Coturnix japonica: one gene and its partners. The protein of the gene in region 1 purifies or fractionates together with the protein of each later gene. This does not show direct contact. Links are inferred from orthologs where the notes say so. Each region holds a gene or a part of one and is shown in the gene's direction. Other genes may lie near its edges.

Evidence for each region.
Region 2: the proteins of CTDSPL2 (region 1) and PDIK1L purify together in Homo sapiens (affinity purification with mass spectrometry; 4 studies listed by BioGRID and IntAct, counting the BioPlex papers as one, with this or other methods). This does not show direct contact. The link is inferred for Coturnix japonica from reciprocal best matches to the Homo sapiens genes CTDSPL2 and PDIK1L.
Region 3: the proteins of CTDSPL2 (region 1) and STK35 purify together in Homo sapiens (affinity purification with mass spectrometry; 3 studies listed by BioGRID and IntAct, counting the BioPlex papers as one, with this or other methods). This does not show direct contact. The link is inferred for Coturnix japonica from reciprocal best matches to the Homo sapiens genes CTDSPL2 and STK35.

The regions. Positions count from the first base shown.
Region 1 is NC_029525.1:17,942,691-17,946,341, reverse strand, and holds part of CTDSPL2 (CTD small phosphatase-like protein 2), read left to right. Parts: intron 1-1,475; coding exon 1,476-1,602; intron 1,603-2,036; coding exon 2,037-2,132; intron 2,133-2,620; coding exon 2,621-2,686; 3' UTR 2,687-3,651. UniProt on the Homo sapiens protein: Probable phosphatase.
Region 2 is NC_029538.1:2,855,287-2,857,881, reverse strand, and holds part of PDIK1L (serine/threonine-protein kinase PDIK1L), read left to right. Parts: intron 1-1,319; coding exon 1,320-2,060; 3' UTR 2,061-2,595.
Region 3 is NC_029535.1:9,249,380-9,253,666, forward strand, and holds the start of STK35 (serine/threonine-protein kinase 35), read left to right. Parts: upstream 1-1,378; 5' UTR 1,379-1,761; coding exon 1,762-2,422; intron 2,423-4,287.

The DNA.
Region 1 (3,651 bases):
GCAGTTATTTTGGTTTTACATTTGTTTTGCTAATGCTGAGCTTTGTTTGGAAGAGATTAATGTTTCTCAGGAGCAGCCCTTAAAACGTGACAAATCCTAATGGATGAATTTCTGTTACCCTCATCTGCAAGGCAGTCTGCTACATGGGAAAGCTGAAAGTGGAGAGGGGGTTTCTCAGGGATTCATTCTAAATAGGGTATTCTAATGAGGGGCATGAAGAACTGCACTTGGCTGTAGTTAGGACTGAGAGTCAGTGCTGGGATGTCATATTGCTGGGATATCTGACCAGCCAGACAGGATGTACCAACAAGTACAGGGTCGGTGCTTACAGAAAATGAGTCCATGTGCATCCGTAACGTGATGGTTTTCCCTCCAAGGCTCTGATACTTAGGACTGAGGACTGCAGTTTTATCTGTGCTGTGAACAGCAGAGGTAACAAGGCAGGCAGGCAGGCTGTATGCTAAGAAGGTTCAGAGATTCTCTGAAATTTGTGTGGTGTGTGAATGTAGCTGTGAGTCATGTGCCTCAGAGAAGCTGACATCAGGGCACGATGAGTTCTGACACGAGCCTAACTGTGGATTTGTCAGGCACTCCACACGTGTGACTCAGAATCTATATATACATTCATTCGCTGCTGAGGCATCAGCTTATTTTCTTCCTTAGCAACATTAGGAACTCATTCCCTTCATGAAAGTAGTAAGCACACTGTGTGCAGCTTCTAAAAATTCTGCTGAAATATATAAGCAGCCTTAAAGAAACTGCAGTGGGGTAATATTACATTGTCAAATCTGAAATCTATCCAGTGCACAGCTGATTGGTAATTACGATTATACTGATCTTTCATGACATTTGTTTTATTCCTGCTCCTCTTAATGAGTTCTTCTATTCTACCAATCCATTTACTAATTAATTAGTAATAAAAGAGAATATACTAATTGGAAAGGAAGAAGTTGATGGAATGTTTTGGCCTCGAGGCTTTTTTCAAGCTCTAAAAACTGAAAATAGGTTAATTGCCAGCAGAGGTAACCTCAGCAGGAGAACGTTCCGTCCAGCACTTCCCAGCGTGTGCTGCAGTGTTTGGAGCAGAACAGAAAGGACAAACCTTGTGAATTGTTTGGAGTGCAGAACTCATCCCTGTGGTTTGAGCCTTGCAAAATCCTTCCAGTATCTTGGGCCCCTCTGTCATTTCATCTGCAGAAAGGGTTAGAAAGTCAGACCACGGTGACAGATGTTTGTTGTGCCTGAGCTGAACTTTTCTGTTTAGATACAAAACAATTCCCTGGAGAGCTAAATAACGTAAAGTCAGGTTAGCCGCTCATCTTAGAGGGAAACACTCAAAATGTGAGACAGTTTTTAGGAATCTGGTCAGAAGGGAAAAAAGTGGACAACATTTGGCAGCACTGACTTTTCTTTTTCCCTGTGCCATATAGGTGGTGCAGTTTCTCTCATTAATGAGTATTCTGATCTAATCACAGGCATCGACTTTTCCGTGAGCATTGTGTCTGTGTGCAAGGAAACTACATAAAGGATTTAAACATTCTTGGAAGAGATCTTTCAAAAACGATCATCATTGACAATTCACCGCAAGCCTTTGCCTATCAGGTAAGCAAGCTGCCATCAGCAAAGCTTTTGGATGTGGAAGCAGTGGGAGCCTAAACACCAGAAGCCCGTTTGCACAAAGTGCAGCCAGTGCTCAGTCGGTATCTGTGTAGTTTGAACCTAAAACCTGATCAATGTGCCAACGCTTCTCAGTGCAACAGGAGTCCTACAGCCCAAAGTTATCCAGTTCAGCTTTGAATTGTGATTGTTGATGCAATTGTGATGGTTTTGGATGAAAGAATTGTGATGGTTTATGCAAAGGACAGACTCGTTGCAGAAGTGATTTTTAGTACAAACTGTAGAGGAAAAATACGTATTAATAAACTTGAGCTTGGAAACTTTTCTCCCCAAAATGCTATTTCACAAGCCACATTTTTAGGTAAATAAAATAGAAGTAACATATTGATGATTTTTTTATTTTTTTTTTTAAACTTTAGCTTTCAAATGGAATTCCTATCGAAAGCTGGTTCATGGATAAGAATGACAATGAACTCCTAAAATTGATTCCATTTCTGGAGAAACTTGTAGAGCTGGTAAGTCTGTCTCTCTTTCGCTTGTTGTTCTCACAACTCCCAGCCCAATGTGTTGGTTTGCTCTGTCAAACAGCACCACATACTTTAAGATCCTGAGTGGCTGAGATTGTGACTGCGGGAAGGAGAGTGTTACTCCAGTTTGTGTGGGGATGCACTCACATAGCAGGAGGCAGAATGGCGTCATTTCCAACTGTGCTTTCAATCAGAAACTGGAAAATGGTGACATAAGTTGTAATGAAATAGAGAATTTATAGAAGTGTAGGTTAAATACTGCCCGTCGTTGTCTTTGTTCTTAAAATGGAAATAATTCTATTCCTAAATGGTTGTGTATGTTATGTATCTGTTCTTGTCAGCCTCTTGTTATTAGCGACATCCACGGCTTCCATTTTGTTATATTAATACACAGACGTTGGAGGTTTGGCCCTGCTATGATCCGATCTGTGGAGGTGCTCATTCTTCTAACGCCCACACGTGTGTTTTCCCTGCAGAATGAAGATGTCCGACCTCACATCAGAGACAGATTTCGCTTGCATGACTTGCTACCCCCAGATTAAGCCTTCGGTCTGATTACTGGAGGGGGAGAAAATGCAGGACCCTTTTGGACTGAAACAAAACATTGCCATTACTGTTGAAATTTTGCATTTTTGTACCCCGTCTTGCTTTTCTTATCTTTGGTGCCCAACAATAATCAAGGGTTACAGAAAGAGACTTTCTATATCTGAGATTGAATACAAACAGTACAATACAGTACAACGCGGTAGGTAGGCTAGAACAGAAAAGTCTTTAGAACTAGTGCGACTCCGATGAGTTTTTTTTATGTACAGGACATCTGCAGTTTATAAAGAGTTCTGTTTCTGCCACCAGCAGTTTGACCTGTAGAAACACAGGATTTTATGATATAACAGAGATTGAAAAAAAAAAGACTCTTCTTTTCTCTCTGTTCGGTGCTCTAAGTGGGTTTGTAGCCACTTTTCTGTTACTTTGGAGATTCTCATTTCAACAGGAATGGCCAGTAAAAGTTGTTTTTATTTTTCCTGTTAAGGTTTATAACCTTTTTACACCCTTTGACCTGTATTAGATTAGAATTTCATTATGCATTCCTTTTAGTTGAGGCGCTTCATAGTTTTTCTGGGAATAGCCGAATTTTCTTAGTTTTTTATTATACAGTCGAATGGCCGTTTTCCTGCTTCGTCTGCCTGCATACTGTATATTTGTTTAAAAATACTCTCTAGTTTTAATCCATGTAAGTTTCATTTAGAAAGAAAAGCCCTGCATTTATTTTTTGTTTCTGTAATATTCTACTGTAGTTGGAATCTTTTCAAAAATCAAGAGACTGGCTAGATAAGAAGAAGATATGAATTCCTAATATTCAGAATTTGTTAAACCATTGTGATGGCGCGTACTCCGACAGACAGTATCTTGCAGTGGCACAAACAGCCGATGGACAAGGAATACCTCAGACTATACCGTGCATGCGAGTCCTTACAGCAGAATTAGGTTGGTCACCTGGCAGGTTCGA
Region 2 (2,595 bases), on another chromosome or scaffold:
AGATCACTTTATGATAGCCTATGCTGAAAGAGAGAAACCCAGATCTCCCTTGGCTTGCTCTCTCTTCTGCCCACTCCAGGTGATATTACATTACCAGGCTGAGCTGGTGTAGTGTGAGGAGGCCTGGGAAGGGCTGTTGGTGTCTCCTGCAGTGCTTCAGGAGACATAAGCAGAACCAGGCTTATGTAGTGAGCTCTGAGCTGGTGTGGCTTCCTTGTGCCGCAGTCCCAGATCTGGAGGTGGATTCTGTCATCTGGATGCTCTGAGCTGAGACCCAATTACAGCTCCAGTGTGGGAAGAGCTCTGTGTTGGAGTTGCTCCCTCCTGTGCTGTGGTTCCCATCTTGCTGTTATTGGCTGTAAACCCTGAGTATACAGTTTAAGTGCTAACACAGAATTGCTCTTAAATTGGTTTGAGTACTAACTGTGCTCACAACTAAACGTAGCTATCATTTGTTACTAATTTTGCTCTTGGTTTGGGAGAAGGAAGACTTTTTAAAGTTTCTCTATGTATTAATAGCTGTATTCACTTTTGAAGGCCTATAGAGGCTGCATCTGCTTTAGTAAACACTGGTTTAGTGCTAACTAGCAAGTCTGACATTCCAGAGTGTGCAAAGAGCCACCTCAGAGGAGCTGAAAAGACAGGTTTGTAGCTGTGTGAACAGAGAGCAAGCAGAGTTGCTGGTTTATATTGCACGTTGTACAAAGTGGCCACTGGGACTGGCTGCTGGAGTTGTTCTCTGCTTATGTTCTAGTGTGCTGCAGTGAGAAAGGTGTTGCTACAGCAGCTGCTGAGCTGTGCCTATGGATTAGCATTCTCCTGAGCTAAGAGATCCTGTGCTAACGCTTGCTAGAATGCATTCACGTGTCAGGGATGGAGGGCAGGCTCTTAAGAACGTGTAGTGAGGCCGCCTTATAAGCAGAGGACAAACCCAGCCCTGTGCTGCTGTGCAGGGGTTCATGGTTGGGGCTGTGTTTGTATTTGGAGTTAGCAAAATGGGTGGGACGCTGGCCAGCCGAAACAGATGGGAGTGCAAGGACTGCTTGATATCCTTCAGAAAGCTGTTATCTGGGGCTGGCTCTGGCTTCTGGGTAGGAGCGTGAGGTTGATATGCTTCACACGCACACAGAAATAACAAATACATTGTGATTTTTTTCCTTTTTACATCATAAGTTTTGCATGAACTCGTTTGGCAATACCTTACTCTCTGAGCTGTTGAGAGGAAGATCCAAAATGTGTGCTTTTTTTTTGTTTTTCCATCATATCTTTCTATTTCTGTGGTCATCGGGTAGTTGTGACACTTCTTTTCCTTATTGCAGCTTGTAGAGACCTCATTAAAAGGAGAAATAGTCTTTGACCCCAGAAGTGCTTATTACCTTTGGTTTGTAATGGATTTCTGTGATGGAGGAGATATGAATGAGTATCTGTTGTCTCGAAAACCTAACCGCAAGACCAACACCAGTTTCATGCTTCAGCTCAGCAGTGCGCTGGCTTTCCTGCACAAAAATCAGATTATCCATCGTGATCTCAAACCTGACAATATTCTGATATCGCAGAGCAGGATGGATGCCAGTGACTTGGAGCCCACATTGAAAGTAGCTGACTTTGGGCTGAGTAAGGTATGTTCAGCTTCAGGCCAGAATCCTGAGGAACCAGTCAACGTAAATAAGTGTTTTCTATCGACTGCCTGTGGGACTGACTTCTATATGGCCCCCGAAGTCTGGGAAGGACACTACACTGCCAAAGCAGACATTTTTGCACTGGGGATCATAATCTGGGCAATGCTAGAAAGAATCACATTCGTAGACACAGAGACAAAGAAAGAACTCCTGGGTAGTTACGTCAAACAGGGGACAGCCATTGTGCCCGTTGGAGAGGCACTGCTAGAAAACCCTAAGATGGAACTGCTCATCCCCGTAAAGAAAAAATCCATGAATGCACAGATGAAACAGTTGATTAAGGAAATGCTGGCTGCCAACCCGCAGGACCGTCCTGATGCTTTTGAACTAGAGCTGCGATTAGTCAACATAGCTTTTAAAGACAGCAGCTGGGACACATGACCTGCAGAGTGGTGGTCTCTTGGAAGGAGCTGCTCCTTGCCCAGCTGATGGTGCAACTTAATGGCAGTAAAGAAACGAGGCCGATCTCAGACCCGCAGGGTGTAGTTTCTATTGATGGAATTTTGTTTGAGTTCCGCTCGTTCTAAGAATGTGAGTTGGCAGTTGTGTTAGCGATGCGTTGTGTTTTGTTTCCAGGATGTTATGTGTTAAGTCTTAAGATGTGACAATGTTCATTTGTGTACGTTGGCAGTGGGACATCCTAGGAGCTGAGGTTTGATTTCCGGCCATATCTCAGAGTATTTAATACATTCCAGTTTCCTATATCAGTATTAGGAACTCTCCTGGAAGAAGAGATTTGCATGCTGGTAGTGCAGATCTTCAGGTTTGTAAAGTAATTGTCTATGTATTTATGCATATGGGTGACTGAGAGCGTATGCTTGCAAGCGTGTTGCATTCCATGGGGAAATGACACTTTTCCTAAGTTATTTGCTGTGGGTCTGAATGTTTGGGGTCTGCTAGAAAACTGGCTGAAGAA
Region 3 (4,287 bases), on another chromosome or scaffold:
TTCGTGGGTTTTGCTGGGTGTGGGTTTGGGCTCACTCAGGCACTAAAGGAGCAGGGCATGGAGAGGTGAAGCAAGGGCCGAGCATCTCCCAGGGCTGATGGAGGGGATGTCACCTGCAGAAGCTGTGCTGGGAGGTGGCAGTGCTGCAGGGATGGGGATGCTCAGTCCCCATGGAGGCACAGGCAGAGGACAGCTGTGTTAGCTGTGTTTTCACCCCCAGCTGAAGGTTTGTAGGTGCAGAACAAAGCCGAGAACAAAAAGCAGCCACAAACCACAGTGGCATCCTCAGTGCTATGCGGGCAGCCCCAGGAGGTTTCACCCTCACTACTGAACACCACGGGGTTCCACAGAGGGTTCTCATGCTGAAAGTAGAAGCAGTTCCTGTCTCACCCTGCACGTCCCCCAAACCCAACCTCCTGCTGGTGCACTGTTAGTTCCCATCCTGCTGTAGCTGCCCTGGGAGCCCCGTCTCCAGGTGATCATGCCCAGGGATCATGGTGTGGAGCATCCCAAAAGCAGCCCTGCTGGCAGCAGCACCAGCTCCCAGCACACATCTGGAGCATCCCCATCCCCATGTGATTGCTCCATAGGCAGTGGGGCTCCTGGTGGCTGAGCTAACCCCAAGAGCACGGGATGGAGCAGGTGCCTCCACCTCTCTTGCTGCAGGAAGAGATCCGGGTTCTCCCATCCCCAAGGCACCGCAGCCCCCATTGTTTTCTATGTGCGCAGATCCGGCCGCATTCAGCTCCCTGCGGTCCGGGTGGGTGTGGGGGTGACACGGCCCTTTTGGGAAAGGCGCTGCCACCGAACCCACCCACCTGCGAGCGTTAATTAATATTCATCCGTCTCTTCCTAATGGGAACCTGCCTGTGAGTCACGCTGACATTTCCCTGGGACAATGGTAATTAAACACCTGGCTAAGAGAAATGTGCGGTAATAGAAAAGTTAAGTTTTGCTTTAAGTGCATCAGTTCGGAGAGGAAAAGGGGGGGGGGGGACGAAAAGTGCGTGTTACAGCGGGTGGGAGGCAGCGGCACAGCGGCACACAGCGTCAGCGGCACGGGGCTGGAGCCGGCCCCGCATGATGCAAGGAGGGATACGGGGATGGGGGAGGATACAGGGAGGGGAATAGGGGCGATGAGAGCAGCAGGGACGGACGGAGGGCAGCCCCGCATGATGCAGGGAGGGGAGGGGGCTTCGATTTGGAATGGAGCTGGAAACACGCGTTGAGCTGCCCATGTTGGGTCATTGCAGCCCGTAGAGACACCGCAGGGTGCGCCCATCCCCACTGTGTTCTGTAATGGGGGGATAACGGGGTGTGGGGATAACGGGGTGTGGGGTGGGCGGCCCCTGCTCCCCACGGCCTTACAGGGGGGCAGGGGTCGGACATTAGGATGAAGCCCCCCTCGGGATGAGCGGTGTTGGACACCGACAACCCGAGGGGTGGATGATGGGGGTGGTGTCACCATCCCTGCCCACGTTCCAGAACTCGGAGCTCCGTTACCTGCGGACCAGGCGGGGCTGTGCCGCCCCCCGTTACATAACAACACAAACCCCACCGGCCGCACCGGGCGTTGCGCTCCCCACGGCCGCAGTGTTTACAGCCGCTCGGCGCACACCATTCCGCAGGGGGAGCGGCCGGCCGTGCCCTCACTGCTCTCATCCCCCCCGCACCGAGCAGCCCGGCGGGCAGCACTAGCGGCCTCACCACCCTTATCACCCCTCCATCCCCGGTTCTCCTCCTCCGTTCCCTCTCGGTACGATGCTCACGTCCCGTCTCCGTCACTCCATCCCCCCCCGTAATGTTGATGGTACGATCCGACGCCCCGCGATTGGCCGAGCGCTTAAAGGGGCCGGCAGGGCGCGCTTTTCCGCCCTGTGTCGCTCGGTGCCGCTCCCCCCGTCCCGCTCGGCGCTGCCCGGCCCGGCTCCACGCGGGGACCGGCGGACGGGGGGGGGCTGGGAGCGGGGCTGCCCCCACCGCGCTGCTATGGAGACGGCGGACGGAGGCCGCAAACGGACACAAAGGGCGGCGAGGAGGCGGCGCGGCCCCATGGCGGAGGAAGAGGAGGAGGAGGCTGCGGCGGTGGTGGTGGGCCCGGGGTCGGGCTGTAGCGGTGCGGGGGTCCCTCGGTACCGGCTGTTGGCAGAGATAGGCCGCGGGGCCTATGGTGTGGTGTACGAGGCGGTGTCGAGCCGCAGCGGAGCTCGGTTGGCGGTGAAGAGGATCCGTTGCGACGCCCCCGAGAACGTGGAGCTGGCGCTGGCCGAGTTCTGGGCGCTGACCAGCCTGAGGAGGCAGCACCCCAACGTGGTGCGGTTCGAGGAGTGTGTGCTGCAGCGGCACGGCCTGGGGCAGCGCATGAGCCACGGCAACAAGCGCAGCCAGCTCTACCTGCGGCTGGTGGAGACCTCCCTCAAAGGTACCGGCACACAACAACCCCCGGCCCCTCCTGCCGTGGGGTTCCCATCCCCGGGTCCGTCCCTGTATCCCTTATCTTAAGGGCTCCTTCCTACCCCAGCTCCTGGGTGCCCTCCCTTGGCCTTCCAGCTCTGGAGATCCCCATATGGGTGCTCCCGTTGTGCCTCCGGCCCCTCCTGCCATGGGGTTCCCATCTCCAGATCTGTCCCTATAACCCTTATCTTAAGAGCTCCTTCCTACCCCAGCTTCTATGAGCTGCTGGGTGCTCTCCCTTGGCCTTCCAGCTCTGGAGATCCCCACATGGGTGCTCCCATTGTGCCCCTTTTTTCCTCTCTCCCCCCACATTGCTTAAATTCCTCCTTGGCATCCTCTGCCCTCAAGGAGCCCTCCTCCCCTCCCTCCTCCTTTCCCCAGGCTGCCCCCATCTTGCTTAACTCTCCTTTATCTCTTTTATTTTAGCACTTTTTACCCCACTCAGCCCAGCATTGCCCGCACTGTGCTGTGTTTTCCCACCCCCCTCCTTCTGCTTTTCCCCTCTGCAGCCCTCCAACCTTGTGCATTATCACCTCCATGCTCAGGCACGTCCCCCTGTGCCTCCATCGCACCCCCATTTCTGCTGCTCTGCCCAGTGCCACAGCCCGGTGCTTGCCCTCAGTCCTTCCCCTTCTCAGCCCCATCTCTGAGCACCCTGAGGCTGTGACCCCACTTCCATGGCACCCTCTGTGTTCCCGTGGGCTCTGACAGTTTTGGGGCTGTTCTCTGTACTCTCCCATCCCTATTTCTCCACCACTCTGCCCTATAGGGATGGCTGCCACCTTCCCTTGGGTCCCCTCGGCAGCATCACGCGGCTGCTGGGGTCACCTCCTGCCACCACCAATGATTGTGATGGTGACATCTCCAAAGTGCTCCCTCCCTCTGCTCCTTTGGCTGCTGTCAGGCCCAGCTCTGCCAACATGCAGTGAAGAAGTGGAAAAATACTGGAGCCCCATCTCCTGGGTGTCCCCAGTGTCTCTCCAGCTGCCTGTGCCCCTTGGCTTGGTGTCCCCTGCTGTGGACATTGTGGAAGGCTGCAGAGCTGCCCTCTGAGCAGATCCACAGCTCCCACACCCTTGGGATCATGTCTGGATCTCTGTATGTCCTCACATGGCCCTGAACCTGGCTTCTTTTTGCTCCTCATGCATGCATCCAAGTCATCCAAGAAGGGCTCTATCCTATTCTCTGTGCAGCCCTGTGGGGTGGCTGCCTGCCCTCCACACAGAGAGCTCCCTGTGCTTGGGGTCTCTTGCTCCCCATGCTGACAGGCAGCATCCCTCAGAGAAGGCTTCTGGGGGAGCTGTCGGTGCTCCCCACCCATCTGCAGGCAGGTGCCTTCTGTTCCTTGCACAGTCACCTCCCTGCTGCTGGGAGAGCTTTGCCTGTCCTGATCCCTCTTCATCTTCTCCCTCCCTGTGCCTGCCCTCTGAGCTGTGTTATCTGCTGGCCCCAGGCAGGGACAGAAGCTGTGCTCACCACCTTCCCCACCTTTGGCTTTGATACCGTACTGATAAATATTGTTAGCAGCAGAGCCAGGAGAGCCCCTGAGCTGCATATATTCCCTTCCTGCCCGCAGCTCTCCTGGCTGAGGCTGCAGTGGGCACGTGGCCGGGCAGCCGTGCCATTCTGCACGACTGCAGCGTGGCTATTTACAGGCTGCACAGATGCTGTGCCAAGGCGCCCGGCTCAGGGTGAGGGGGGGGGATTAATCTGAGGCTCTTTCTGCATCAGGAGCATAACTGTCGGGATAGCAGGCTATGCAGGTCGTAGCTACAGTGCTCAGCCATCGTCTCCATCGTGTTTAATTGATTATGCCACGTCTCATTTGGGGCA